Caenorhabditis elegans: one gene and its partners. The protein of the gene in region 1 purifies or fractionates together with the protein of each later gene. This does not show direct contact. Each region holds a gene or a part of one and is shown on either strand. Other genes may lie near its edges. The genes, in order: R03G8.3, kdp-1 and Y73F8A.32.

The links.
Region 2: the proteins of R03G8.3 (region 1) and kdp-1 fractionate together in Caenorhabditis elegans (co-fractionation; one large-scale study listed by BioGRID). This does not show direct contact.
Region 3: the proteins of R03G8.3 (region 1) and Y73F8A.32 fractionate together in Caenorhabditis elegans (co-fractionation; one large-scale study listed by BioGRID). This does not show direct contact.

Annotation. Positions count from the first base shown.
Region 1 is NC_003284.9:13,087,235-13,098,160, forward strand, and holds R03G8.3 (uncharacterized protein), read left to right. Parts: upstream 1-3,730; 5' UTR 3,731-3,745; intron 3,746-3,881; 5' UTR 3,882-3,896; coding exon 3,897-4,151; intron 4,152-4,202; coding exon 4,203-4,324; intron 4,325-4,368; coding exon 4,369-4,515; intron 4,516-4,563; coding exon 4,564-4,659; intron 4,660-4,701; coding exon 4,702-4,814; intron 4,815-4,960; coding exon 4,961-5,100; intron 5,101-5,147; coding exon 5,148-5,236; intron 5,237-5,627; coding exon 5,628-5,877; intron 5,878-5,934; coding exon 5,935-6,156; intron 6,157-6,314; coding exon 6,315-6,478; intron 6,479-6,525; coding exon 6,526-6,634; intron 6,635-6,688; coding exon 6,689-6,784; intron 6,785-6,830; coding exon 6,831-6,992; 3' UTR 6,993-7,182; downstream 7,183-10,926. Other genes in the region: R03G8.1 (alkaline phosphatase family protein), read left to right, coding at 1-46, 93-188, 233-412; R03G8.6 (Aminopeptidase), read right to left, coding at 7,402-7,447, 7,496-7,737, 7,783-8,001, 10,310-10,816.
Region 2 is NC_003282.8:13,298,375-13,306,137, forward strand, and holds kdp-1 (KASH (Klarsicht/ANC-1/Syne Homology) Domain Protein), read left to right. Parts: upstream 1-1,813; coding exon 1,814-2,251; downstream 2,252-7,763. Other genes in the region: micu-1 (Calcium uptake protein 1 homolog, mitochondrial), read left to right, coding at 1-66, 118-178, 352-507, 553-796, 846-1,639; csn-6 (COP9 signalosome complex subunit 6), read left to right, coding at 2,456-2,717, 2,770-3,170, 4,183-4,524, 4,563-4,692, 4,996-5,156; Y67H2A.7 (Peptidase M3A/M3B catalytic domain-containing protein), read left to right, coding at 5,378-5,473, 5,520-5,609, 5,665-5,751, 7,288-7,610.
Region 3 is NC_003282.8:15,512,807-15,525,333, reverse strand, and holds Y73F8A.32 (uncharacterized protein), read left to right. Parts: upstream 1-3,891; 5' UTR 3,892-4,107; intron 4,108-4,393; 5' UTR 4,394-4,399; coding exon of another isoform or gene 4,400-4,659; intron 4,660-4,705; coding exon of another isoform or gene 4,706-4,801; intron 4,802-4,848; coding exon of another isoform or gene 4,849-5,046; intron 5,047-5,093; coding exon of another isoform or gene 5,094-5,248; intron 5,249-6,502; coding exon of another isoform or gene 6,503-6,911; intron 6,912-6,963; coding exon of another isoform or gene 6,964-7,052; 5' UTR 7,053-7,054; intron 7,055-7,094; coding exon of another isoform or gene 7,095-7,341; intron 7,342-7,386; coding exon of another isoform or gene 7,387-7,523; intron 7,524-7,570; coding exon of another isoform or gene 7,571-7,717; intron 7,718-8,143; coding exon of another isoform or gene 8,144-8,292; intron 8,293-8,331; coding exon of another isoform or gene 8,332-8,433; intron 8,434-8,477; coding exon of another isoform or gene 8,478-8,789; 5' UTR 8,790-8,796; intron 8,797-8,835; coding exon of another isoform or gene 8,836-9,075; intron 9,076-9,488; coding exon of another isoform or gene 9,489-9,839; intron 9,840-10,513; 5' UTR 10,514-10,528; coding exon 10,529-10,574; intron 10,575-10,640; coding exon 10,641-10,777; 3' UTR 10,778-10,828; downstream 10,829-12,527. Other genes in the region: ari-1.4 (RBR-type E3 ubiquitin transferase), read left to right, coding at 498-618, 674-946, 1,019-1,117.

The DNA of each region.
Region 1 (10,926 bases):
AATTAACAATTTCACCTCTGAATGTATCTCTATGGTGTTTGAAAGGGTAAGATTTACTCCTATGAAACAACTAGGAAAACAAAACGTTACAGACGGAATCTCTGCTGCAATACAACCAGAAACTGGGAAATTCTACCATATACACAGTCATCGCTCAGATGAAAAAACCAAGTGAAGCTAAATTTAAAGTATTTCATTAATTCGAGTAATTTCGTTATCATTCATTTTCCAGGCAACTGTGAAAATCACTGAAGGAAATATCAAGATTGTGAGCAAAGTCGAACGTGTCGATTCCTATGGAAAAACTGCTGATTGCATAGAATCGGAAACACATCGGCCAATCTGTTACTGTAAAGAACAACCTAAACAATGTTCTTGGACTAGATTGAATTTTGAGTTATTTGTTAATTAATAGTTCTGAAAGCAATAATTTCTCTTAAAAAAATTAGTTGAAATAAACCTGAGGGGAAAATTTGAAGAAAGGTTGTATTAAAAGTGTATTTAAAATCACTTGTAAAAGGCTTGAATAAAGTTTCTAAAGTTATATGTTCGAAAAAATGTTTTTTGCGGCGTGCAGAAGTATTATTGCGAATTTTCCCTGGTATATTGTGCTTTCCAAATTCTGATCAGTACATGTTTATAAAGGTAGGTCCAATTTTACAAAAAACCAAAGAAAATTAGAATGTACCATTAATTACTTTACTTTTCTAAACGGGTCCTACAGCGCTGCAATATTAAATACAAAATAAAAAATGCTCCACAAACACACAATGCTTTCTCCAAATCCTACGAAAACCGACTAAAAATTCTAGGAATTTCATCAGCCCGCTCTCTCCGCCTAAGAGCCCAACTATTGCTTCTATACAAAATTCTTACCGGCGCAGCGCACTTCCCAAAAAGCAGTAACTTTGTTACGCTTGCTAACTCGTCTCGTCGTCCGATGCTCATTAAAATTAAAAATCCCAAATGTCGTAGCTTTTTCTCCCAAGTAGTACCAATATGGAATAGCATTGTACGCAACTCTAGCTTTTTCCTCTCCCCATCACAATTCCTTTCGCTTGTTGATTGTCAAATATCTAAATTCTGATCTCTTTTCCTCTCACTTAAACTCGCGCTCTGTCGGGCCGAGTTTATTTTAATTTATTCATCTACACGTGTAAATATCATAACCGGTTATGTTTTTCTTATCATATTCTTTTTGTTTCCATGATGAATAAATAAATAAATAATTATTGTAGTTTGATTAGTATCGTTCATAGTTCAGACAAAACAAGATATTTAATGTTTCAGTGGTTCATTCCAGAGGCAAAGACTCGATTGGAATTATTATTAACCACATCCAACACTTTCTCGATAAGAACTAGAATATTGAGTTAGAAAATTTTGCGTTTGAGTCTAACTTTTCCACTTTAAAATTTGATAAATCAATAGTTTCAATTATATGCATTTGTTCTGTTTAGTTTTTATCTTTCCGTGGTTTACAACCTCGCCAGCAACATCATTAATAAGATAGCAAGAGTTAAAGTGCCTTATTCTCTACTGCCTGTCCGTATATCAGAAAATCAAAACACAATTTCATTTTTCGTTTTCATTGGTATTTATGAACTATCCAACAAAACACACCCACAAACATACTTATTCCTATTTTAGCTTGACGTCATTTACATATAAGAAGAGCAAATACTTAAAAAAAAACTGGCAGAGCACAAAAATGAGGAATGAGATCAAAAGAGCATTTTGAATGTGTTCTGTATTTGTGTGAATGGAGACGTGCAAACCACAATTTTTAGCTCAGTAACTTTTTCAAAAGTTTTTTTTTCTCGTTTTGGTACAAAAGAAATGGTTTTTATAATTTTCCACTGGCGCTACTGCACCTTTAAAGATCCGAATAATTTTGTTGTGCTTTCTGTCGTGCCTTCGTAATTACATTCTTGAGAATTTCCCCCCCCCCCCCCCCATATATTTTTTATTCAAAAAAATCATAATCCATGCAATTTGCATTTTTAAAGTTCTCTGATAATTTCAAGATATAAGTTCCTGAATTTGCAATCGAAACATCTCAATGATTAACAAATTCATATTTCGACAAAAAAAAACTAAAAAATTTTCTTAATGTGCATGCTATAAACTTTAAGAAATAAGGTGTACATTTGATTTCTCTTTCTTGAACACTTGATTTGCCCAACTTTCATTGTCCGGAAAGCTATTTTGATGCAAATAAACCGCAGACTGGGTTATCAGTTTTGAAGATTTTATACAAAAGACCTGTGAGGTTTGAGGTTTGTGTTGACGCCATTGAAATGTTTCAGGTAAGTTTAGTTTTAAAAAAGACTTTTGAGTTCGCAAGAAATACATTTTCAAAACTTTTACACCTTTTCATTCGAATATTTAAAATTGTCTTTTTTTAAAGATCAATATGATTCTAACTCAGTTTTGTTTATTTAAATGCTATTGTCAAGTTTTATTGCAAATGAATAACTTTGAATTTTTTTTGATGCCAAACAATCGCCATTGCCTCACTTTCTTTTTTTTTTAGTTCTCCGTATTTTGTAGTTAGCATTTTTATAATTTTTGATAATATTGACACAATGTTTTCTACTGATATTAGAAGTAAAAGAATCTATGCACAAGTTCTGTTAGTAGTTAGTTGAACCCCACCCTGGCATAAATATGATTTCATAGTTAGAAAAGGAGCACCGGCAATAATGATAAGAATATAAAACTCATAACCACGCCTAGGAAGTTTCAAATAAACTCTAGCTGATGAAAAAAGATATAATTTTTGAAGTGTGGTCTTTAAAAATTTCAATTGATATTTCCTATTTTGGTTTTTTTATAATACTGCATGTCCCCTTTGTAGTTTATTTGACGTTAAAAATTCTGAGCAACAAAAACTTGATGGATATCACTTTTGTATAGTTAATGAGGTGACAAAGTTCTTAACTTCAAAAATAAAAAATTGATAGTTTTCTACATTTGTTTAAAATTAATTCCACTCGACAGTACATGTATGAGTTCAATAAATCAAAATTAATCCTTTGATAAGACAGGAGCGATGAGTAACTAAATTGCCAAACAGAAGTATGATTTGGATAGCTGGAAAATTAACTGATAAAAATCGAAATGCAAGTTCGAATTCGAAACATATTCAATTCCAAAGAAAACTCCATAGATTTATGTATTCCGCCTCTACATTTATTGTTATATAAATTTTTAGTTTTCAACTCCGGGTGTTTACGAATTTTTGAACGGTCTTTTAATAAAATCTGCGCCCGACATTAATCAAGGTTTGCGTTGAACCACTCACAAACCATTTCAAGATAAAAAAAAAAAGAATTGTCAAACCGCCATAAAATATTACTCAAATGTTTCAGCGACGTTTCATTATGATATTTCGTTACATAAAAAGATTAAATGCTCCCACTACAATTTACAATCTTTTGATAAGATGACGTTTACATTAAACACTTCAAGTTCTTTAATGCAGGATTACCGTTTTTTTTTCACCCATACGTCTAAATGATGATATAAACTTTGAAGTATTTTCTTTATTAAGAATCAATTCACAAGATGATTTGGATAGTCATGAAGTGTTTGCAAATAGAGCCTTATCACAGAGAACATTAATGTTTAAATTATTTGTTTTCCCCACTCATTCATACCCTGTCAGATTTAAAACTGATGTTCGTATTTTAAATTAATCAAAAAGTACAAGTTCCTTTTTCCAGAATTAAGTTTTGAGTTGGTGAGTTGAAAATATGAGATGAAAATTTCAAATTAAACACTGTTCTCCTTTTGAAACACCAAAAACCAACGTCATATTTTTTCTATGTTTTCTTCCGCCCCATGCTTCTGACCACTTTTGATGAGAATAATTTAAGGAAACGAAAAACATTATGTGGCGTCATTTGTCAAAAATGGAGTACGTTCCATGGAAAGCACTTCTTGTGACAGGATGCTTTGCCATGTATCTGGTGTTGCTGGGTTTCACCATGTTTTCTCCACTTCTATCTCCTCAGCAATATCTTGGTTTATATCAACCAATTTCTGGAAACATCCCCAGTAAAGTGGTAATGAATAAATCGGAAGTGGAACCCTGGGATCAATGTGAACTCCCACAGTATGATATCTGGGATGATGAGATATTACCAGTAAGTTAACTGTTCAGAAGTACTAAGATATTAATATTGATGTTGTTTCAGTATCTTAACATGGAAGTAAATCCCATTTCAAACTGCAACAAATCTCGCGAGCCTCTGACGTTTTTAAATAACGGCAGTTGGGGTGTTGTTAATAAAAAAACAAAGTTAATATGCAGAGCAAGGTAATTTATATAAAAACTTTTCAACTTTTTAAAAAGAGATTCAGATGCCATACAAGAAAAAGTGAGAGATACAACGTAATAGGCAACTGGACGTATACACCGGGGCCTATCAATTGCGAAGTTGTTGAAGCAGTTTGTGCAGACGGCAAGAAAGATGTCTACGGGTTTTTGCACACTCAAGTGATTGCAACGTGAGATTTTTGAAACTTTGTGAACTGGTTTCAATGTGCTCATTTCAGACCACCAAAACAACCTACAGTCAAAGTGAGCGAGCTGAAAAACTATGACGTCACAGTGATTATGCTGGATTCTTTATCATTTACTCAAGCAAAGAGGTAGGTGAAAAAATGCATACGCACAGAAAGGTAAAAATTCAGATCACTTCTACGAACAATTTCTTATATGACAAACCATATGGATGCAGTTCTTTTTCCCTATATCAACAAAGTTGGTGACAACAGTCGACCTAATGGAGCTGCTTTGTGGTTCGGTGAGTTGTTATTATTAACTATGATGCCTGTTACAGAACATTCCAAAATTTGTTCGCAATTTCACAAAGTTCTAAAATATTCAAAAATGTTTCTAAGCATACATGTTTTTACTCTTTTTAAAATTAAAGTATCTTTCAATTTCCAGGCAAATCCTTAGAAAAGTTGGATCGCTCTTTATTTGAAGAGGAAAACGTTCCAGTTGACTGGTCGCATGCCTATATGTGCCACGTTTATAAGGACAACGAAACATCACTTTTTAAAGAATATCAAAACTATGGATACAAGGTCAGTTTGACAAGTCATTGTATGCTCACCAACACTTCTGTAAACAGACTTTGATGGCGGAAGACTGGGCGGAAGGAACACTCAACTGGCCAAACTGTAAAGGTTTTGATAAACCACCAATTGACCACCTTATGAGGTAAATAGAATATGTAGTAGAACCAGGAATACTTTTGTCTGAATAGACATAAAATGCGTTTGAAAAACGTAGTACGGCATTGTGAAGTTTTCCTGATTTTTCAAACATTCCAGTTAAAGCTTTGGGGGGTTTCAGTTTTTGAGAAATGTAGAGAAGACTTGGATAGCACTTGTATGTGAAAAAACATTTTTGATCGAGTTCCGAAATAATAATTTGAGAAAACTGATTGTGAGTAATTGCTACCTTTTATTTATGAATTAAAATAATTTTCAACAATTATATAGAAAATTTCACTGATCCTTTCAGCGCCATAGATGCATATTTTATAAATTTTCCACTAAATAATGATCACTTGAATTGTAGTTTGATGCTGCAGTCTTCCATATTTCAGACCTTTCCAAAATGCATTGGAACGTGCAAATCACGGAGAACCACTTACCAAGAGCCATTTGAAAAATCAAAAATATTGCCGTGAAGATCATCACACGCTTCTCGACTATCTTTCCCAGTTCATTAACGCATATCCTGATCAAAATAAGTTTCGTTGGATTTGGGCATCTATTTTGGGTCACGACTCCGAAAATGGATTTCCACACTCTGATAAGGATTTTCACAAATTTTTGATAAAACACAGAGAGCAGGTATGTCGATTTAAAATAGACAAACTTTGACAGAAATCTAAACATATAATATTTCAGCTTGACAACTCATTTGTGTTTTTCATGGGAGATCATGGCCTTCGATTTGGTAACGTTAGAAAAACATTTGTCGGAACATTGGATGTGAGCAACCCATTTTTGGCAGTTTCAATCCCAAAGAATCTACGTCAAACAACAGGCTTATTGAACGTGATGAGAGAGAATGCCCAAAAAATTCAAACTCACTTTGATACACGAGCAACTATGCTGGATATTCTGAAAGTGAGTATTTAAATTTGGAACTTTATTGTAAAATGTTTTAAGTAAATGAAAAAATAAGTTTTTGGTGTCATTTTTTGGTGGAAAACGTTTATTAAAACCCTTTTTTACTGCCTTGCAAAATATAAAATACATAAATCTCAACGATTATTGTTGTTCAGTATCAATCTGCAAGCAACTTCACCGACCTCGACCCTCTGATAATTCCCGGCGAGAAAGGATATTCGTATATCCGGACACAGCCGGATATTTTGAGAAACTGCCGAAACATGCCAATTCCTATGCAATATTGCATTTGTCAGTTCAATAAAACACAAGTTTCCACGTAAGTTTTTGAGTTTAATAACACCATTCAAATGCTGAAAATTATAGAAAAAGTGAAACAGCTAAGGGGGTTGGCGAAGCTGTGGCTCTAGCTGTGAATAATGAAATTGAAGAAGGCAAATTCACGGACAAATGTGTTAAAATGAAAGTTGATCACGTTAGTAAAAAAAAACGACCTGAAGACATTTTCTGGGAATTTTTCATTTTCCAGGTTGTCTCACTTTTGCAGTTTGACCAAAAGTTTAAAGGTTCCATGTTATACACGGCGGTCGTTGAAATGACAAAACCAAGTAAAGCAGTTTATAAGGTATCGATTTACTGAATTTTTTCAAACTCTGACATCAAACTTTCAGGCAAATGTGAAAATTCTCGAAAACGGAGAAGTTAAAGTGTTAGGAATGGTAGAGAGGAGTAACAAATATGGAAGCACTGCATACTGCATAGGATCAGAGCATCATCGGCCATACTGTTATTGCAAGAATCAAAGCAAATTAGAATTGAAAAAAGGGAGATAAACTATGCAGGTTTGATAAATTTTTGAATTTTGTGTGCACTAGGGTTTGAAAGTTTTATAGGTTTCGGGTAAATCGCTAGAGATTGTATGTATAATTATGAAATATTATTAATGAATTTAATACTTTCTTTCTCATTATCAATTTAATTTTTTGTAATTGATTGTTGGAAAACGTTACATAAATATACTTTTGTATAATTGATGAAATACGGGTAAGACCGATTGTTATCTTCAAATACTTCAAATGAATATTTTTTATAATCAAAACATGATTTACAAGAATTTCATTAAAAAATTCAATTGTTACCCTATGCATTTTATAAAGGTTTTTCAGATTTTGACATTTTATTCATAAAACATGATAAGATTGAGACTATATATTCATCTGTCAAAAGTTTTTTATTCCAAGCTCAGAGATTGCATTTCATTTGTTTTCCACCCAGCTTCCCAGAAATTCTGAAAATTAAGTATAATAATGAATTGAAATATGTCGGATTATCTCACTTTTTGAGGTTTTCTTTAGTGCTACACCCAAGCATCAATTTTGGTCCCAATTTCGCTTCTTCATTCACTCCATTTTCAGCCCATGCCACAATCAGATCCATTGTGTTTTGACTCAGTTTCAATTGCATGATTGCGCGCAAATTTATATTTTGTGGAATTCTTTTTTGATAACAACTCGAAAATGTTTGAGACTGTACACATTTTGGAAACAACTCAAAATTTTCGATTTGATTTACAAGTCCCTAAAAATTATTTTCATCGTCAATCAACAAAAAATCAAAACCAACCTTTACTGTTTCGATGTCCTTACTATTTACAATACTTTTGTTATTAGTATTGTAAACTGCGTCCACAAGGTACAACACAGATTCGTGACGGAGAATTTCATTTTCTCCAAATACAAGAACATATGCAATGATAAAGGCATTGTGAAACGGAGTCAATCCGTCTCGTGAATAACGAAAAACATCATGAAGCGTTCGACGAAGAGAATTGACGGAATACCTCTAAAACAAAATAACATTATAAGAAATGTATTTCTAAATTTGAAACACTATTTAGTTATCTTGAGTATAAATGTTTTTAATTAGGAAAAAAGTTTTATATCGAAAAAACCAAACACAAAACATATGCCTCAAAAAATTGGAACTAATATCATTAACTATACAGGGTGGTCCATAATTATGGCGACCACTTTAGGGCACTGTAATTTTGTTTTGGACAGCGAGCAAAACAAGTGAATATACACATTTTATTGGTTAGAAAAAATCGAGCAAAATGACATATAAAACTTGACATTTATGACCACTCCACACGGCAGTGGCGCGCAAGTAGGCTCGATTTAGCTTACTTGTTAGTGGTGATTTTTAAATGAGATACATTGAGTGATTTATTATTTTGATTATATATTAGGAATACCCTTGATACAACAAAGCTTTTCACGAATAATTTTCGAGTTTGATGTCCGGTGACGGAAGTGGCATCTTGTGAAAGTTAGTAAAGTCAAGAAAAGTAAGCTCCCCCAAGTTTTGCGAATTTTTTTCCTTACCAGCCAACGATCTTCATGTTGAAAATGCGAATGTGTTCAGTTGAAATTTGTCTTAACTTAAAATGACAATTTGGTTTTCAATATTTTGATATATTTCACAGAAAACAGAATTTTTGGGCAAATCTTTTTACAACGGACTGTTTGCACTGTTTTGAAAGGGCGAATGGCTACGTAAATCCAAACATAAGTTGGCACAAAATATGTCTATCGGCTCGGGTTTTGCTATTTTGAGTGTACGAAGTCTTGATAATTATTTAAAACATAGAAACTAATTACTTGATCCCATGAGCGCAGTAGGAGACGTCGGGCGCTAGACCTCCTCTAAAATAGAGAAAAATCATTCCCGATGTTGTAAGGTCCTCACTACCTTTAAAGTTGAAGGAAGTTGTATGGTAATTGACTTAAATGACAGAAAATACTGTGAACTTCTAAAAATAATCACATTTTAAAACTTTCGTAACATGGTAACCCCAGAAATCAAGTTCTTGCGAGCGCGTAGCAGGTCGCCATAATTATGGACCACCCTGTATATAAAGCGCTAATGTCTGTCCCTATGTAGTTTACCTTTAATTTCGAAACAACTGGAAGTTCCCGGGCTTTATGGTAAATGTGCAGCCGACATTGATCGAGGTCCGCGATAGACACTGCATGTCTTTCGCGTCTCTCAAAAAGGTCGGGGGCCGCGCCGTAGTCCTCGGCTGGTTTAATATATCGCGTAGCATATGTGTTGGGTTAGTCTAGGAAAATGATAAAAATTCCATGTAAGGGACAGTTTACATAATTTGTTTTTTATTGCAAAATTCCTCAAACTGTTTTATGTATATCAAATATGTATTCAGTTGTGAATGAACGATCGCAAATTCGCGATGCAGTCTTACTAGGAAACCGTCAGAAGGTGCCCATCGGACTTGCATATGAGACCTATGCCATTCGATAACCCATGTTTTAAAACGGTTACTTGTAAATTGTTACCGGCAAAACTCCAGAACCAAGCTCACGGCGGGCTTTCAAAGCTCCTAAAATAGCACTGTAAGGCAGAACTTTAACGATCTAACGAAGCAATTTTCCAATTTTACTTTGGTAGCTCGTATCTCCGCGGATAAATTTTTTACAGAAAAGTCATCAACTAAAAAGATGTTTATATTGTTGTAAAGAACAAGTTTGTAGTTGAAAGTTTTTTACCAAAAATTTTTTGTTTGAGTTAAAAGCATTAGAAAAGCAATAACAGCATAAAAATAACAGCAACAGTAGCCGCACTTCACGCGCTTTTATCTCAAACAGAAATTTTTTGGTAAAAAACTTTCAACTACAAACTTGTTCTTTGCAACAATATCAACAACTTTTTAGTTGATGACTTTTCTGTAAAAAATTTTTCCACGGAGATAAGAGCTACCAAAATGAAATTGGAAAATTGGCCCTTCAATGTTTCGTTAAAGTGCCATTTTAGGATTTTTGTGCGCTTGCCGTGAGCTTGGTTCTGGAGTTTTGCCGCTAAATGTTTACCAGTAACCGTTTAAAAACATGGTCTATTGAATGGCTGATGTCTCATACAAGTCCGATGGGCACCTTCTGACGGTTCCCTAGTTAGTCCTAGCTTAGTAGAAAAACAGTGTTCACTGATTATTTGTTCTCAAACAGGGCCAGAAATTAATGCGTATTTTGTTGTTTTTGTTCCGATAAAATCTCTAATTATGGATAACCGTAGTTTTTAAGTTTGTTTTTTTTTTAAATTTTTTTGAGAGCCTCAAAAAAACACGTCTACATACCGAAACATTTATTGCAACTTGTTCGGCTATTTTTTCGTACATTTTGTCGGAATAAAGTACTTCATAGTATCCTATCGAGTTTGCATTGATAATAACCGAATCATCTGCCACAAGTTCCAAACTAGTGCTGTTTCTGTTTAACCACGCCATTTGTACTCTTGCTTCTCCTGGTTCCTGATACCAAATAGGAATGTCCCATTTGTAATCGCATTCGTTTAACATTAACTGAGGCTCATACAGGTGGGATTGTGTTAGCGTAGCAATGCCGTTGTCATTGGAGACTTGAATCGTTGGAAATCCGTTCTGATGAGTCCAACACCTGGCAAACTTCTCGATATCAAAAGGTTTTCCGTTTGTGTCGAGTGTCTCAGAAGAAGTGCGAAAAGCCTCGTACAAATCGTTGTCATCAACATTATCATATTGATTTTTTTCCAAATAGAACTTAATGGCTTCATTAAAGTATTCGGTTCCAAATATATTTTCAAGCATTCGAACAAATGAGCAGCCCTGTAAGGTAGTTTTTATTTATTTTTTTTTGAAAGGATTGAAAGGAAAATGTGCGGTTTTGGCTTTGAAATAACATCGTTAGTCCTGTTCGCAAAAACAAATACTCGCCA
Region 2 (7,763 bases), on another chromosome or scaffold:
GCTGTACCATTGGAATTATGCCTTGGTGATCGCTGGAATGGTTATCCTGATGAGTGATTTCGAATGGTTCGTGCTCTCCTGCGTCGATTTGTTTTTCGTATTTCACCGCTTTTTCAGGCTCAAGGATCAGATCAAGAGCGCATCGTTGCCGTTCCGTCCAGAAGCATCACAAAAAGAAGTGAGCTGCTCCTGCTAGTTCACCTAATACCAGCTTGTGTGTTGTGATTTCAAGATAAAAATAGTCAGTTTCAGTTATTCTGTTAATTTTTCTCACAAGCTTCTTAGGTTTACAACCTCTCACGTGTTTATTTTTCTATCACTCCTGCAATTTTTCTAATTTGCGGTCTTCAGGAAGTCACTGAAAGCAATGGTGAAGTAGAGGAAGTCAAAGAAAAGCCAAAGAAGAAGAAACTGGGATTCAGAGAGCGAAGAATCATAGAATATGAAGACAGATTGAGGCTTTATTCCACTCCGGATAAGATTTTCAGATACTTTGCGACCCTGAAAGTGAGTCACTTTGACAAAAATCTATTTATTAGTTGTATTTTTCAGATCATCGATCCTAACGAAGACAGTGGACGCTTTGAAGTTTTCATGACTCCTGAGGATTTTCTCCGTTCTTTCACTCCGGGTGTGATGCAGCCGAGACGTTGGGGGCTTGATAGTTTTAAAAACTATAATCCTGAGAAGCATAAACGTCACAAGTTCTCCGACCCTGACAGTATTTTTTACAAGCTCGGCGAGAACGGTCTCATAAACTTCAGTGATTATCTGTTTCTCATGACTCTGCTCTCAAGTGAGTTTTAATACTCGTTTTTCTTTCAAAATATCATTGACTTTTCCAGCCTCTCACGCGGATTTCGCTCTCGCATTCAAAATCTTCGATGTAGATGGGAACGGTGCGCTGGATAAAGAAGAATTCACAAAAGTTCAACAGCTTATTATGTCCCAAACAACTGTAGGACAGCGTCATCGAGATCATATAACGCCAAACCAGTCGTTCCGTGTCGAGACAAACTCCGCTCTCGAAACATATTTCTTTGGAAAAGACGGAAAGGGGAGCTTGTCGTCTGAAAAATTTATCGAGTTTCAAGAGCGTCTACAACACGACATTTTAAAGATGGAATTTGAACGGAGAGATGCACTGGATAACCCGGATGGACTTATCAACGAAGATAGTTTTGCTCAACTTCTCCTTCTTCATGCTCAAATTAATGAGAAGAAACAGAAGCATATGTTGAAGCGGGTTAAACGAAGATTTAAAGGAGAAAATTTGAAAGGAATCAGTTTTGGAGAGACGAAAGCATTTTTCGAGTTTTTGTATCACATTGACGATGTAGATATTGCTCTACACTTTCATAAAATGGCTGGAATGTCGATAGATGCGAAGCTACTTCAACGAGTTGCGGTCAAAGTGACTGGAATACCTCTATCGGATCACGTTGTGGATGTGGTGATTACTTTGTTCGATGACAATTTGGATGGAAAATTATCACATGAAGAAATGGTTGCTGTGATGAGGAGAAGAATGCGTAGAGGTTTAGAGCGACCAAGAGATACTGGACTTTTCCGTTTGTTTGATGCAGTTCTGGAATGTGGAAAACGAGCTTATCACGCCAGTCCTCTTCCATTTTATTAGTGGTGCCCATGGCCACTGTAAATACTTGTTTATAAATAAAGCTTTTCATTCTTTTTAACAAATTATATTTGTTATGTTCATAAAAAGTGTTCGTTTCACTTTTCTTATCTTAATTTCATTTTTTTATTCTTTATTTCTTTCTCCACATTTTAAAACACATTTTTCAGGAAAATCATGTCGTTGGCTTTGAGAAAGACTTTGGGCGTCGCTCGCTTTTCCATGAGAACCGCCAGCTTCCAGGCTGTTCCAACCAACGCCGGAAAGACCCCACCAACCCTCGAACAATTCGATCCACTGAACCCAGGAGAGTGGCAACTCGGAGCCGGAGGAAAGATCCTTCCACGTCTGCCAGAGGGAACCAAATGCGGAAACCTTGTCATGGGAAAGTACGGACTCTACGATCCAATCCTCAAGAAAAGAGTTGATACCTACGCCAATGCTCTTCTCGAAGGAAAGAAGTCCGAAGAGGCTGGACCATTCGATGTCGCTGTCAGCAAGATCGCCAAGGTCCTTTCCTACATCTGCTTTGTCATCGCCATCTACAACCTCATCTCGTTGGTCAACGGAACTCCACTTCCACCACTTAGCCACGTCAAGGCTCCAGGATCCTAAATAATTTCCACTCGATTGCATTATCTCTTTTTTGTAGGAAGTTTTATGTTCTGTAAAACTTATGTCAATGTGAATCAATAAAATTCCCGTTTAGCTTGTTTTTCCACCAGTGAATCCAGGAATATTTTCAAAATTTCCAAATCATTATCTGGCTTGAAACAAAAAAACCGATTTCGAAACCAAATTTCGAAATAATTTTCAGAAATGGCATTGAACGCACCAAGCGGGAGCTGTAGCTCGAAGGTGCTTTTGCATCCTTTGGTTATTATGCAAATGTCCGAACACTACTCCAGAACAAAGGTCCAACAGGGTCCTACTGTGAAAAAAGTGTTCGGAGCAATTCTCGGACGGCAGAATGGACGACAAGTCGAGGCGATCAATTCATTTGTTCTGAAAATGGAGACAGAAGAAATGGCTGAGCCGGTTACTTTTAGCACGGAGCATCTCCTTCAAAGAGCAGATCAATGTCAGTTTTACTCTGTTCTTGCTCATTTTAGTTTTTTTTCCCCAAATTTCAGATCTGGAAGTGTTTCCCGAGCTCCAAGTTATCGGTCTTTATTGTGCTGGGGAGGATGATAATCTGACTCCCGAAGAGAAACCTCTTCTCTCAAAACTCACCAATGCGGTTCGCAATTCAGAGAAAGCCGGACAAATCGACGCGACACTTTTCCTTAAACTCAACTCTATCACTGCTGGAACCACTCGTAAACTTCCACTTTTCGCGTTTGAAGCAGACGTGACTGATCAGGAGAAGCATAAGCCAATTGAATGGATTTTAGTGTCGGAAGAAAGTGAACGTGTCGGTGTTAATCATATCGCTAAGTTATCAACGAAACATGGAAAAGACGGGAAATCAGTTGGAAAGAAACACGCGGAGGCTCAAGATGCAGCAATGAGCATGCTTCAGAATCGGGTTGATGTGCGTTCGAGAAATTGGAGGCCAGAAAAAGACAAAATTTCATAATGAGACTTCTGAAAATGCTGTTTAGCGGTTCAAAAATTTTAAAATAATACCTAAAATTCGCTAAAATGCATATTTCGATCTTATCTCGCATTAATTCGTTGATTTAAGACACATTTTCAGTCGATTGACACCTAATTTTGGAAAAAATGTTTGAAAAAAGTACCTCCATTTACTAGTAATTGCGAGCTAAACGACTAAAATATGTAACAACAGCTGCTGCGACATGAAAAGTTTGCGAAATTTCAGAATTTAGACAGTTTTGGCTCTTATTTTTTTTTGAAATTTTGACATACTTAAAAAGTTTATTAATATTATTTTGAGAAATCTCGTTATGAAAATCAATACAGCAGCAAACTAAAGTGGAATAGTCGAAATAGTTTTACTGCTTTATTAGACTCACAATTGACTGAAAACACCGAATTTCATAATGAAACTTCTTGAAAACGTCTCAAAAAAAAGTTATGACGGCTCAAAAAATAGCCTAAATGTAGTTAAAATTTGAAATTTGACCGACTTGTCAAGCGGCTGGAAACTAATTTTTTGAAATCTCCATCTAATTTTGAGTATAAAATTTAAATATCTTGCGTTTTCAACTTCATTTATGTATTTTAAAGCCGATGGACGGCGATATTTTTAATTTTTTTTTTACGAAATCTCGCCGTCCATCGACTTTAAAGTACCCAAATCGAGTTAAAAACGCAAGATAATGACATTGTATGCTCAAAATTTGACGGTGCTTTCAAAAAAAAAAATTGTTTCCAGCCGCTGCAACATTGCAAGACGGTCAAATTTCAAATTTTAACTAATTTTAGGCCATTTTTTGAGCCGTCATAACTTTTTATTGAGAAATTTTCAAGAAGTTTCATTATGAAATTCGGTGTTTTCAGACAATTTTGAGTCTAATAAAGCAATAAAACAATTTCGACTACTCCGCCTTTAATTTTTTTTACAAAAAAATAATTTTCAGCTAATCGTTGCCTATCTCGAAAAAGTGCAAGACGGAACACTTCAACCGAATTTTGAAATTTTGAAGGAAGCTAACTTGCTTGCTCAAAAGCTCAAAACCATTGATCGATATGCTGCTGAGTTCACTGATAGTTTCGAAAAGGAAGAGAAAACAATGACCGTATTCTCTCTGATGCCAAGATTGACAACTCTTCTCGGAAATATGCAAAATGTGTGGAACAAGTTGTCAGCTCAAAGAGCCGATCTTCTCGCCGACGATGGATTCCATGGAAAATCGACAAGCCGTTGGGCTCATCCGGTTCGATTCAAATCACAACATCTCGGTCGTCCGCAGCAGGCAGATGTAAGTTAATGCATTTAGAATATTTCTAAATCCTTTAGGAATGTTTGTTCCAGGATGACGATTATTTTGATGATGAAGATTTGGAGAACGATATGAGTGGACCACGGAGAAAAATTCATGCTGCTGATTCTCCAGCTGGATCGAGAAGACGACGTGTTCCGCCAAGAGGTAGATTTGGAAATTCTGAATTATTATGAAGACGCAGAAAAATTCACCTTCTTGGGGAAATTTTTTGAAAGCGGATTTTTCAGAAGTTTTGACATCAGATACGAGGTTTAACATTTTTTATCAACTATTAAAATTTAATTAAAAAGCACAAAAAAAAAAGACAAAAAATACCTGAAGGAAAATTCTAAATTTACGATTTAGCCGATTCAATTGGTCGTGGAACGATTTTTTTTTCAAAAATAAGCATTTTTGTGCGTCCTCATTTCAAAATCTTCTGGAAAACATTAAAAATGTTGATTTCAGCAATGAACTTCCTCGGTCGGAATTCTGGTATGCAAGCCGCCACGGACGAAATGGAATTGTCAGGTCAAGAGGAAAATATGGGAAGCAACTATATTCCAGACGTTCCAAGACCATCTGCAACAGCACACAACGAGTCGGACGAGTCGAGTCAAGCTTCATAAATATCCTTTTTTTGTTAAAAATTCACTGTAAAAATGCCACTTTTTCTTATTTATTTCATTGTTTCTCAAATTTTTACACCACTTTACGTGTTTTTCATCCCCATTTATCTGAAATATAATGTCTGATCTCCGATTCTCGATATTAAAAAAAGGTTAAACGTTCCTTATATCAATAGAATCCAGTTTAGTTTAGACTATAGTGATTTTTTCTACAGCACTAAATGCTTCGAAGTGTGATATTACGGCATAGTCGAACGATAAGCCGGAATAGCTGGGTGGCTAGAGCATTTCGAAGCGAGAAGGTCGACAAAGAAACGGTTTTTTTTTTCAAGAAAATGGATTTTTTTAAATTTAAAACTTCAGGGATTATTTGGAAATAAAAACTTGAAAACCGCAGAAAGTTTCAATGAATTACCGGCGGCAGTTAAAAAATCAACTGATGCTCTTATTCAGGTATTTAGGAGAGCTCTGAAATCCAATTGAAATCCTGTAAAATTCAAATTTTCAGGAGCTTCTAACCCCATCGCAGAATCCCAGAACTTCTATTCAAATTGTCGATGATATTTCGAATGAGATTTGCAAATCGGCGGATCTTGTAAGCTTCGCTTCGAAAAAAGTTCCCAAATTCAGAAGAACCACAAAAAAAAACGCGATTTTTGAGGCACCACGTTTTCAATATCTAGTCGGAAACAATGTCTACGAAAGCAAGATCTACAGTTTGGAGTTCTACGAAAACGAGAGCTACGCTATCAGGATCTGGCACCATGCCAACTGCGGTTTTCACAGTTTTCTCGAAGAAAATCGAAACAACGATGCTCCGATATCACGCATCGCGCGTTGTTTATCGTTTTCCAAAAGTTTTTATTTCAAAAAAAGCTTTTCTGAACGATAAACAACGCGAGCCGTGTAATATCGGAGCATCGTTTTTTCGATTTTCTTCGAGAAAACTGTGAAAACCGCAGTTGGCATGGTGCCAGATCCTGAAAACGTAGATCTTCGTTTCGTAGATCTTATTTTCGTAGATCTTGTTTCCGACTAGATCTTGAAAACGTGGTGTCTCACAAAAGGAGAGCAAATGGAAAAACAGAAGAAAAAAAACTTCAAAAAATGCGATTTTTAAATTTTGGCGAAATTTCCAGTTTGAATTTCCTCCAAAATTAGACACCACGCCCACTTCTTCTGATTGGTCGACAAGTGGGCGGAGCGAGTCTCTGATTGGTCCTAAAACCGTAAAAAAGTGAATTTTTTGGCTTTTTTGGTCTAGAAAAATCAATCTTACAAAATACTAAAAAAAAACCAAAAAAGTCTCTGTAGTTCTTATTTTCATGGGAATTCAAACAAGAATTTTGCTTTTTTTTGTCTGAAATTCAGAAAAACCACAATTTAAAAATCTAGAAAAACCGAAAAATTCATATTTTCGGCTACTTTCTAACTGTTTGAACTTCCAACCAATCAGCGACTTCGACCACGCCCATCTCTCCTGATTGGTTCGAGAGAAGGCGGGGCGAATCGAGGCACCACCGAAAGGATAACAGGTGAAAAAGGAGAAAAACGAAAAGGAGAATTACGAAACACAAAACCACGCCCATTTTTCAGTGCGGTGCGCAAGTTTTTGCAGAAACTTCTGCGAATTTTCATTTTCAAACGAAACAACGAAGCTCCGAAATAACGTATCGCGTGTTGTTTATCGTGAATGCGTTATTTCGGAGTTTCGTTGTTTCGTTTGAAAATGAAAATTCGCAGAAGTTTCTGAAAAAACTTGCGCACCGCACGAAAAATGGGCGTGGTTTTGTGTTCTCCTTCTCGTTTTTCTCCTTTTTCACCTGTTCTCCTTTCGGTGGTGCCTCGGCGAATCACGTGATGTATAAGAGTGTCTTATTTCGGTTTGATCTACGTAGATCTACAAAAAATGCGGGAAAAGAGACGCAGAGTTCTCAACTGATTTCGCATGGTTAAGAACGTGCTGACGTCACAATTTTTTGGGCGAAAAATTCCTTTTTTAGATCAAACCGTAATGGGACAGCTTGGCACCACGTGCAGACGCGAATCTCGTTTTTTTGTGGTTTTTCTGAATTTCAGACAATTTTGAAAATTTTAGGCTCTACGGTTACTGATATTTTCATATTTTCAGGCTGAATGTGTTCGTCAACTGCACAGTGAGCCCGAGTTCAGAAATGCGGCCGAAGATGTTTCCAGAAATTTCTGTGAGCTCGTTGAAAGCCTGAACACAAATACAGCACTATATCAGAAGCTTAAATCATCAGAAATCACTGAATCTTCAAGACTGGATGATGTTGATAAACGAACTCTCACCCTGTTGCTTGATGATTTTGAACAAAGTGGAGTACATTTGAAAGATAATCAAAAAGAGCAATTTGTGCAACTTTCCTCGGAGATTTTCGACGCTGGCGCTAGATTTCAACAGAATTGTGATCGGATTGTGTCTGTTGGAAAGTATGGATTTTTACAGTAATCAAATTTGGGAACAGATTTAATAAAATTGGAAAGAAAGAAAAATTGCTTAGTGCGAAATTCAGTAAACAAAAATCTGAGTTTTTTTTCTAAATCACTTGTAGTTTTTTTTTGCTCGAAAACCAAAAAAAAAGA
Region 3 (12,527 bases), on another chromosome or scaffold:
GGCTTTAAATGCACCAAAATATGCAAAAAATATATGAAAATTCAAAAAAAAAGTCAACGTCAGACCTCCTCTGCGACACGGAAAAATGCCCGAAATTGGAGATTTTAGGTAAAATTGGGAATTTTTAAAAGGTGGGCGGAGCCAAATCGCATCCGCCGCACGTTTATTTCGCAAGCCTCGCACGTTTTTTCCGTCATCATGTTGCCTTTTTTCGTGGAAAAAAAGTCGCGCGAGGATTGCGAAATAAGCGTGCGGCGGTTGCAATTTGGCGTTTTTTGAAATTTTTTCGAGAAGTTTCACCCTAAAATTCGTTAATTTCAGCACATTTTGAGTCTGTACTTTTTAAAATTGAGCGTGCATAAAACCAGGCCAAATTAGCGCTTAAAAATATCAACAAAAAAAAAAATTGCAAGTGCGCTCCAGTAAACTTGGTGATTTGGCGCGAATTTAAAACAAAAAAGATTTTTTCATAATTTTCAAATTTTGCTTTATTTCAGATACGTGGAAGACGACAACAAGACTGACTCTCGTTCGCTATCGAGAAAGAATCTACAACGATATCTTTTCTACTATAATAGATTCATGGCCCATCAGAATAGTATGAAGTTGGAGGGAAAGGTTTGTTATTTTCAAAGCACCCGACATCTGCCGGGCTTCATCAAACATTTTTCAGCTCTACGCGAAAGTGGAAGTAAAAATGGACCTAATGCAGGCACTCTCAATGTCATGGATCGAAGTTCAATTCCTTCGACGAGCGGTCGATGCGCTTTGCGAGTGTCGCCGTACGCTGAAATATGCCTACGCCTTCGCCTACTACCTGGAGGCGAACAATATGACGACACTGTTCGAGACGAATCAAAGTGATCTCGAATTGGCGACCGAGCAGCTGTCCGGGATGTTGGAAGGCGATTTGGAGGATAATGATTTGGCCGAACTGAAGCGGAAGGTGAGGAGCAGCACACTCAGATGCGGCCGACATCTTCCGGGCTGAAATTTTGTAATTTTTATCAATTTCCAGGTCCAAGACAAGTACCGCTACGTGGAGCTCCGCCGCAAAAAGATGCTCGATCATTGTGCCGAAGGTGTCGAGCTTGATAGTTGGGTGTTCTGCGAGTAATTAATCATTTTAATATTTCTATGTATATTTATTTGAAATCTATCGATCTCGTATCATTTTGTTCTTATCCTACTCTTCTCTTATATCAACTGACACCCGATAAATATAAATTCTCACTATGATAATTTATTATTAGCATTTTACAAACTTTTTGAAACCGTAATTCTTTTTTTTTGCTACAACATTTTTTTCTGTTGTGACAGCAAAGGAGGAATATTTTAATTACGGGCTCTTTGACGTCAACCATGTGGCAAAAGAATAATTATGAAATTTAAAAACAATCACTTTAATAACTTTCCAGTAACTCGAAAATTTTAAATTTTCTAGAAACAGTAGATTTCAAAAAAAATTTCCGTTTTTATTTTTGTTGGCCAGTGACCCAGTGACCAAAAATGCAGAAATTGCAAACTTGCTCACAATCAGTGTTCCAAAAATTACTGTGTCGCCATTCAAAGAAGTTGCAGAAATAATTATTCTGGAGAGCAAATTGAAGAGAATGTAATGCATTTTATAGGCTGTTTAGATGCTGTGGAAATAATAATTTTGAACAAATTTACTGTTTCTAAAAGTTTTGTTTTCATTTTTTGGATTACTGGGGAAGTGATGGTCTCTATGATTTAAATTTTTCCGAATTTTTGGAATGAGATACGAAGCCAATTCAAGTGGAGAATATATTCTTGTGAAGTTTTTGAAACAGGAATTTTATTTTCGATTTTTTACAATTTTAAATTCTCGGAACGCTTTATGTTAGACATGAATAGTTTTTTGATTTTTGAGAAAATCCAAAAAAATGTTTTCCCAACTCGTTGTGTCAATCCAAAACATTTTGCATATTTTAGTGTGCGAATTGTGATGCACGGTTCTTCGTATAAAGTGGAAGAACTACTTGCTTGAACTACATCTGATAGCTCGGCGGTCCACCAACTAATATACTAATATAGATTCCGAGTTATCAAACAGAATACCAACTTGATAAGGCATTATTGCCATTATTGGCACTAAACCTTTCCACCATTGACTGATTAAACTGATTAGGAGAATATTCAGTACTTTTCCGATTTCTGCCCCCAAAATGTTTTGGATATATTCATTAATGAAACGTGAACTTTTTTTGTAATTTCAGGCTTATAGTTAGTAGTGTTGTTTTCTGAACCTAAAAATTGAAATAGTTTTGAAATAAACATTCACGTGAGAATTTAAATTGAAAAATTGAAAAAAAAAACATTTTGGGGGGCAGAAATCGGAAACGTACCGAATATTCATATAAATATGAAAGTGCCTATATTTTTTAAAAACTTTTTTACAAGTTTTAGAACTAATATTGCAGTCAAAGAGTAAGAAAATATTCGAAAAAAAGCAAAAATTAAAAAAAGTCATTCAGAGATCCATTAAATGAGAAATTTAATTTTATTGGTTTTCTGAAAATTGAATTTTATTGATTTTATTGAGTTTTTCAACAGTCATTACTTATTTCCGTGAACCGTTTTGATATTAAATTGTAAATCTAGGTCGGAAAAGTCACACACACCGAGGAGTTAGGCTTCCCTCATCCTCCCTGGATCAGTCGGTAACTGCTTCGGTCGGGGAGTGGGAGGGGTGGGATGAGTTCAATTCTTCCGGAAAAGATGAGGGATTTTGACCAGGTCAATCATTCGTCCAAGGGGCGCACTTACTGACCCCGCCCCTTTTTTCACTCGTTTTTCTCATTTTAACTTGAGCATCGATTCTCTTTAGTTTTCCTCTGTTTTTCGAACAAATTTTGTCGAATTTTAATGAAATGTTCATAAATAAAATGTAAAATAATCGATTATTTCACAAATTTGTCGAAATTTCGGCTTTTATCGTCATGAAAAATCACTTTTCCGTAATAATTATAGAAATTGACGATTTTGCCATTTTTTCAAGCCTTTTTAGAACTTTTTCGAGTCTAATATTCGCACAATTTGATCGATTTAGCAGAAAAAAAAATTATGTTTCATTTCTCCAGTGTCCGTGTTTCTTCTATCTGTTTCCTTTTCTGTCCGTTCGGGTTTCGGCTCTATGTTTCCCAATTTTCTTGTGTTTTTTTATTAATTCTTCTCAATTTATTCAATTTCAGCTGTAAAGAATGACCGATGCGTGGATCGAGGGGCGGCAACGATCAATATGCTCAAGGAGCACTCACCCTTCTCAACTCGCTTCACGCATCGGCAAGAATTCATTTTTTTTATCACGGAAATAATTATTGAAAATTTCAGATTCCGAATTCTGTGGCTGAAGTGTTGGATCAGAAAAGTGACTGCCGTCGACATTTTCAACAGCAACGGCTCGGAAAGGCTCGCGTTGATCGACCCGGAACCGTTACATCCACAAGCTTGCTGAGAAGAGTACGATTAACTTCGCGTTGAGGCCAGGTCCTGCTCCAAATCATGTGGATGCCTATGTCCCCGCCGTTGGATCCACTCGCGTACGAGTTCATCGAGTCTCCGAATCGTTCCCAGTCGTCGGCAATCGTACGTTCTTCAAATCGGGCAACGCCTTGCTTCTGTTGAAGTGGATAAGACAAATCAATGGAGAGCAAAGTGTTCGTTTTAAATTTTTCTCACATCTTTCTAATAATTAATTAATTTCAGCTATACCTTATCAACATTCAATCAAGAGGGTCTGTAGTTGTTGCTTTGGAAAAAAAGCCCAATTTACGGTGCTAAGTGGAAACCCAACGGCCGAGAATTCGCTATTTGCTATGGTTACATGCCAGCCAAAGTAACATTCTATAATCCGAGAGGAGTTCCAATTTTCGACACGATTGAAGGTCCACGAAACTATGTTTTCTATAATGCATTTTGAAATATTGTTTTGATTTGTGGATTTGGAAATATCGCAAAAGGAGAAATGAAGTTTTGGGATGAGGAGACGAAAAAGGAAATTATTTCGATCGAAACACTTTTCGATAGGGCTCCAGATGGTCAACCAAAAAGTATGAGCGAATCAAGTCGAAACGTGATGGACGAGTGTGTTGTTATTTTTTCAAAATCTATCTTTTTTAAACTTGACCAAATTTCGAAGCACTTTATCTAGTAGAAAAAATCTGTTTCGTTTTTGAAAATAAAATCATCACCAAACGGTACCTAGCAAATTATTTCAAAAAACCAACAAAAAAAACAACACAAATTTTTGGAAATAAAATCCTCACCAAACGGTACCTAGCAAATTAAATCAAAAAATCAACAAAAAAAAACAACAAAAATTTTTGAAAATTGAAATTACCCTTACTTTTAATATAGCTGTTATTTTCAGGATATCAATCAACCAGCTCGGGATGAAACGAGTCGAATTGTCAGATTCTCTTCGTCACCCTCTTCCTGATCGTCATCTTCGGAAGATGAGTTCTGCGTGTCCACTTCGTCAGGTAAGTATGACTCCAAAGTGCCACCACAGCTGGGGCAACCATCATGTGAGCAGACGAAGTGTACGGGCAGCTTGCATGTAGAGCATCGGAGCCATTCAGTGACGATTGATTCGAAGTCTGTCTCGTGAATATCCGAATCAAGAACGGGATCCGCCTAAATAAAATAAAATTTTAAAAACATAGGTTGAATTGAATTTTACAAAGTGGCATTTGCTGCAAATAGACACGTCTTTCTTGGGTGGCAAAGAAGAAGCTAGAAGTTTATTCGATCGCTTTCTGTCTCCCTTTTTGCGTCGCTGAAATTTAATAGAAAATACTTAATAGTTCAAAATTTGGTAAGTACCACAATACGATTCATAGTCTGCGTTGCTGTTCTATATGGAAGATGAGCATCTCGGCGAACTGTTAAGACCTGGCTGGTTCCAGGAGTATTCTTGTTCGCTTCACGAACAATTTCGAGATTTTTTCGCATAGTTTCCAGGGACTCGGCGCTACTTGACTTCTTATATTGCCTCATCTTCCTACACAACACGTCATTTTCCTATAAAAAAATACATTTCAAATACTAAACCATCATAGTTTTACAACCTGCATAAATTCATTGTACAATTTTTCAGCCTCATACGTGAAGCCCATCGTCGAAGGTGCATTGAATGGTTGATGTGGAGCTGGAAGAGGGATGTTTTGGAATGGCTCCATGTCCATATCATCACGGTCAGTTGCAGGCGTGTTGGTCTCATTTTCTAAAAACAGTAGATGTATATTAGAGCCTATAAAGATGCAACAGAATTTTTTTTGGAATAAAAATTATAAATTTTTTTACAGGGTGGGCCAAAAGTATGGTAACACATGAAGCGCTCTTTTACATGAGCTTTTCGCGCGACTGCCACGTCATACGTACATTCTTCTATCGAATACTGATAGCTGAATAAATGTCCTTCAATTTGACTCAAAATTTGTAATGTTTCCCAATAAGGTGCGATCTTTATCACCTCGACAATTTGGCGAACCCTTTCGAAAAAACGGTAATTTGGCACGCGGCACTTCCCACACAAACACACCTCCCACGCACGCCAATAATTTTCAGATGTATGATTTTTATGTTAAATTTAAAATTAAAGAAGTGAAGAAGCGTTTTTGATTGTTTTTGTAGCATATAAAAATTTTCTGTGTCGACACTGGCGCCTAGCAAGAACCTTTGAATATTTCATGAATTCAACTTTGCGAAATTTACTCAGTTTTTTTGGTTTCGCAAGGCGTAACGACCCACAAAATCATCCGAGCTCAATTTTCTGAAAAAATTCTGGAAAGTCAGGTCAAAACGTCTCGAAAAATACTAAAATGAATTTTTCTGCATACTGCTACTCGCCGCTCACATCCATCTTTCTGGCGACTATGCCATTCAAGACTTAACCTACTGCCGCAGTCCATGACAGAAATACCGTGATAGAAATTATTTGGATTTTTGTTTTTAAAGAATCTCTAGACCAAGAGCATTCTTTGAACTATAAAAACTTGTAAGACACTTGATGGATTCCTCGAGAAAAATGTAGAAATCCCGCAGAATGCCGACTTGCGTGTATAAAGGTCGTGATCTAAAAAGTTCTGAAGGCCTGCAGCGATGCGGATGGGAATATTTTGAAAATTCAAAACGTTCATCTGGTCAGTATTTTATGGAGAACAAAACTTGTACAAATTGATGTAATAACTCTCCACTAGTAAAGTTATAGAGCTGCAAACGTGTTACCATACTTTTGGCCCACCCTGTAAAATTAAAATTATGGATTTTTTTTTGGAATAAATATAGTGGTACTTTTTGGAATAAAAATTGTGGAATTTTTTTTGAATAAAAATAGTGATATATTTTGGAATAAAAATAGTGATATTTTTTGGAATTAATAATATGGAATTTTTTTTAATTAAAAATATGGAATTTTTTTGGAAAAAAAAGTAATTTTTTTTGGAATTAAATTTTTGTGGAATCAAAAATTACTAACCTAACAAATGGCCTGATGCAATTGCCATATGGACATGTTTGCAGCTTACACCACTTTTCTGGCCAGGACAAGTACAAAGGAAACGTGTCCAGCAAGCTCCACAGGAACAGTGACAGTTCTCGTCCTTGGCACAAGAGCATCCCAGTAAGTCTTCAACAGTGTAAACTTTTCCAGAAGCTTTAGCCTCAATTTCGAAATCTCCTTTCTCGTTTTGTGAGAGGATGTAATCCTCAGCTTGAAGCTTAGCCTTGGCACAATTTCGCAAATTTTGCGCTTTACGGGCTGAAGCGGTTTTCAAACATCGTCCTGACTGCTTAGCAAGTTTGCGAACCACCCATTCAAAAGCATCATATAACACTTTCAACAAGGCATCAATTCGAATATTCGTGTGGAGTTGCAGGTGTTCTTTCTGAAAAATAAGCCAAAAATATTATCAGTTTTTAATCTCTTTAAAAAATTACTTTCAGAGCTGCGTGCCAACTTTCGCTGAACATCGACGTCTGGAAAGGAGCTCCACGACGAAAGCAACCAGCCCACAACTTATCATAATCTGTAAGTTTTATTTACTTCAACTGAAAATTAAATAAAAAACCTAAATGACTTCTTCTGAAGTAATCCGCGTATTGTTTGCCGTTCTCACAATCATTTTCCAAATGTTCCAATAGTGTAGCCAAAAGATTTTCATACTTTGCTTTCGTAGGCTCTCCCATCATCGATGTCAGAGTTCCTTTAACTGTCTCAGCCTCGCATTTTGGAAGAAGTTTGTCAGCATTTTCGAAGAGAGCTCTTTGCACGTGCCAGATGCACCAGAGTCGCTGAGTTTTGTGATTTTTGAGAACCTGAAAAACGTAAACTTTAAAGCTGAAATCTAAAACCTATCTGACACAGTTATATCCATTCCAGAAAGCATGTGCTTCATCTGACATGAAGTATTGTGGATGAAAGTCTGGAATTTCTTTAACAATGCATTCAAATAATTGCTTGACATCTTCCTGGGTTACTGTAGATGAGATCATATAGGCTGAAACTTCCATGCGCTTAGCTCTTTCGTACACTTAGAAAACTTACCGACTGGAATTCCACGACCATGACCATTTACTACCAGCATTGTTGTGAGCTTGAGATTGTATTTAGATGGGTTGTGAGTGTCATCAATACAGATTCCATCGTTCCCGTATCTCTCGCACAGCTCTTTTTGGTCAGGTGTCATAACAACTGCAATAAAATGGAGGAATAAAAAACCGAGTTTTTACTTCATACTAATCTTTTGTCGATAAATTCGGCAAAACAGCCTTTTGTCCATTTGCCGATTTGCCGGAAATTTTCAAATCCGGCAAAACGGCAAATTACCATAAATTTTCAAATCCGGCAAAACGGCAAATTACCATAAATTTTCAAATCCGGCAAAACGGCAAATTACCATAAATTTTCAAATCCGGCAAAACGACAAATTACCATAAATTTTCAAATCCGGCAAAACGGCAAATTACCATAAATTTTCAAATCCGGCAAAACGGCAAATTACCATAAATTTTCAAATCCGGCAAAACGGCAAATTACCATAAATTTTCAAATCCGGCAAAACGACAAATTACCATAAATTTTCAAATCCGGCAAGTGCCGCCCACCCCTGCAACATACCCATTAAAAAACCTGCTCCATCATCTCTTGGTGGTGAGAAAAACCTGATGCCATCTTCCGGCCAATTTCTATCCACTCTTTTTTGCAAAGAAATGAAATCATTTTCATCGAGGCGGCCTTCGGCAAGGTTGTACTTTTTTCGCAAGTACCTAAAACAATTTTTCAAAAATAATTTATTTTTTTCTTACCTCAAATCAGATGGTACTATATTTGCAAGTCGGCTTGTCAGATCGTACTCCTTATCACATTTACGAATAATTTGAACATTCGAAAACCCGTCTTTCATGAACCTTTAAAAAATCATCTTCAAATAATTCTAAACCAAATAGCGTACCGAACAAGTTTTGAAATTTCTTGCTCATTGAGCAGCCGGAAGCCTGGACGTTTTTCGTGTCCGTAGTGCTCGAAATATCCCACCGCTTGAATAGTTCCACTCAATACATCTTTTTTATATAGACAGAAACGATGGACAATGATGAGATCCAGTCATTTTCCTTGATGGGCCCACGAGCATCTTCTTGGCAGTCGAGTTGTAGTGACCTTCATGACGGCAAATACGATACACAGCGAGTCGACTCGACATGTCCTCGCTAGATCGAACTCGGAAGCTGGTGCAAGAATCTCGCTCTCGCACACTCAGCCAGTTCTGAACAGTGGGTTGTTTTTTCGAAATTACATTAAAAACAGTTCACCTGGAATTCTACCGTAGTTTGAAAGTTAGTATATTCAACTTCCGATTCGGGCTCATGAAATTCTGAAAAGTGCTGAGCCAGTTCCAATCGAGTTGCAAAATTCGAGCCGCAGTCTTCAACAGGGCATAGAACGGTCCCCTTTGCAGAATTTTCGTCAGCGTTTTTAGACTTGTTACGTGGGGCGGCGGATTGCTGTCGCAAGGTCACAGAACGGTGCTCAGAAGCCGATACACAAATCTTCTGTTAAAATTCCATAATTTTTGTTCCAAAAAAAAAACCATAATTTTTGTTCCAAAAAATTTCAAAAAAAATACCATAATTTTTAGTTCCAAAAAATACCATAATTTTTGTTCCAAAAAAAAAAGACCATAATTTTTGTTCCAAAAAATTCCATAATTTTTATTCCAAAAAAAAATTATTTTATTACTAAAAAAAATCTATATATTTTATTCCAAAAAAAATCAAAAAATTTTATTCCAAAAAATTCAATATATTTTATTCCAAAAAAATCAATATATTTTTTTCCAAAAAAAAATCACTAAATTTTATTCCAAAATTATCAATTTAATTTATTCCAAAAAATCGGTATCTCTTGTGACAAGAATCACCTGTGGTTAGGCAAAACAATATTCATAATAACATTAAAAAAGTACCTTTGCTGGGGGTGGCTGTATCGCCGTTGGAGGTGGTGGCAGAACGATAATATCATCCTCGAGTGAAATTGTAGCAGGATCTACAGGCGCATCGGGGAGATTTGTAACTTTTGGATGCTTTCTTCTTCGATGCGTCACTAATCCATTCTTGGACGGTAGAGTCAATCCACATGTGGTGCACTCCCAAGCCACACCCCCATTTCGATCCACGGACCTGCTCAAAGCAAGTTGCTTTTTGAATTCCTTTATGTCTTCATCTGTTGCATTGTGAATCGAACCGAGATGTCTGGTGACGTTATTCAGCAGGGTTGACTTGTAATCGCATTTGTCACACAGGATATAGCTAGCCATTTTCTTTAAACAATGATAAATTTTCATAAAAAATAATAGATTTTCGTTCAAAACCGATAAAATTTCTTTTTAAAAAATGATACATTTTCTGAAACAACAATAATTTTTTGGAAAACTCAATAAATTTTCCAAAAAATAATAAATTTACGGAAAAATCGATGAATTTTCGGTAAAAATCGATAAATTTTCGGTAAAAATAATAAATTTTCGGAAAAATCTATAAATATTCTGTTTAAAAAAATAAATTTTCGGAAAAAAATCGAAAAATTTTTCTTTCGAAAATAATTTCGGAAATACGATTCCTACTGTATTAGGGAAACACTAAATTCTGAGAATGCGTACTGCGCAACATATTTGACGCGCAAAATATCTTGTGGCGAAAAATATCTCGTAGCGGAAACCGCAGCAATTCGTTCAACGATTACTGTAGAGCTGTTGATTTACTGGCTAGACTTTAGAAACGAATTTATTTTCGATATTGAATTTTTCGTTGGTTTTTGCCATTTCGATACTTCAAAAAATCGTCAATAAGTTACAAAAGCAATACAAAATGGGACCAACGCTACAGTAGTCATTTAAAGAATTTTTGTAGTTTTCGCTACGAGATATTTGTTTGTTGCGCAAAACGTATTCTCAGAATTTAGTGTTCCCATAATATTATTTCTCACTTCCAGATCATCGACGCCAGGATGCTGCTTTCTCCGCCAACCAACTGCCGTTTTTTTTGTTTTCTCTGTAAGTTTGCTCTGTGCTGTTCCGTTTTTCAAATTCCCCTGTGTTAGTTCAATTACAAAATTTCAGATTTCCCGAAGGTTTCCAGCTCATCTTGGGAAGAAGATGGATTCGACGCCAGGACCCTCCTCTCCACTCCGACCGACTCTTCTGGTTTTTCCCTGTACGTTTTCTCTGTATTGTTCTGTTTTTCAAATCTTCTTTGAAACTTTAAAAAAAAACAGAAGATCATTAAATAAATTTTATTAAAGAACATTTTTAAGCAAATTTAAAAAAAGATAAAATTTAAGCTTTTTCTTTATTCTCCAGCTGTCATGTTGTAAATGAACGGGAGCCGGTGAGCCGATGAAAGATCATTCCAGTTTGAGAAGTACTCGATTAGTAGGCCTTGATCTCCATCATCGAATGAGCCGGACGAGGTGGCGAGAGCGAGAAGAGCTCCTGAAAATTAAAAATTGGAATAAAATTCAATTTTTCATTTAAAAAAACTTACGATAGACGGTGAGCGACGGCGTGAACACGAAAACTCCCGAATTGAACATATCCGGCCATCCGATATCGGCGGCGGCAGAGAAGTCGGGTCTTTCGAAGAGTTCATCACAGTTCCTGATGATCATGGTGTCAGCATCCAAGAAAACAGCCTTCGAGTATTGAGTGAGACGCCAGCAGTGGAATTTGGTGAAGGTCACACTAGATCCGGGCGGCCGATCAACGAGAGATTCTCCGAGTCGTTGCTGTTGAAGAAGTCGACGATATTCACTTCGTCGAATTTGTTCTCCAACTCTTCACGGACAGAATTCGAAATCTGGAATTTAATTTAATTAATTATTTAATAAGATTTTTTTTTATTGAAAAATCACCTCATTAGTGATCAAACAATGAATTCTTCCGTTGCCGATGCGTGAAGCGAGTTGAGAAGGGTGAGTGCTCCTTGAGCATATTGATCGTTGCCGCCCCTCGATCCACGCATCGGTCATTCTTTACAGCTGAAATTGAATAAATTGAGAAGAATTAATAAAAAAACACAAGAAAATTGGGAAAAATAGAGCCGAAACCCGAACGGACAGAAAAGGAAACAGATAGAAGAAACACGGACACTGGAGAAATGAAACATAATTTTTTTTTCTGCTAAATCGATCAAATTGTGCGAATATTAGACTCGAAAAAGTTCTAAAAAGGCTTGAAAAAATGGCAAAATCGTCAATTTCTATAATTATTACGGAAAAGTGATTTTTCATGACGATAAAAGCCGAAATTTCGACAAATTTGTGAAATAATCGATTATTTTACATATTATTTATGAACATTTCATTAAAATTCGACAAAATTTGTTCGAAAAACAGAGGAAAACTAAAGAGAACCGATGCTCAAGTTAAAATGAGAAAAACGAGTGAAAAAAGGGGGGGGGGGGGTCAGTAAGTGCGCCCCTTGGACGAATGATTGACCAGGTCAAAATCCCTCATCTTCTTCCGGAATTCCATAATTTTTATTTTTGTTTTTTTGCGCCTACTAGTACCTGTGAAAATTGTAACTCGACACAAAAACCTTTCTAGCGCGGCTTTAAGTTACTTTCCTGTCCCAAAAACTCACCTATAATATTTTTAAAAAATCTAGAATCCAAATCTATCAAAACATTTCCGGAATTCCATAATTTTTATTTTTGTTTTTTTGCGCCTACTAGTACCTGTGAAAATTGTAACTCGACACAAAAACCTTTCTAGCGCGGCTTTAAGTTACTTTCCTGTCCCAAAAACTCACCTATAATATTTTTAAAAAATCTAGAATCCAAATCTATCAAAACATTTCCGGAATTCCATAATTTTTATTTTTGTTTCTTTGTGCCTACTAGTACCTGTGAAAATTGTAACTCGACACAAAAACCTTTCTAGCGCGGCTTTAAGTTACTTTCCTGTCCCAAAAACTCACCTATAATATTTTTAAAAAATCTAGAATCCA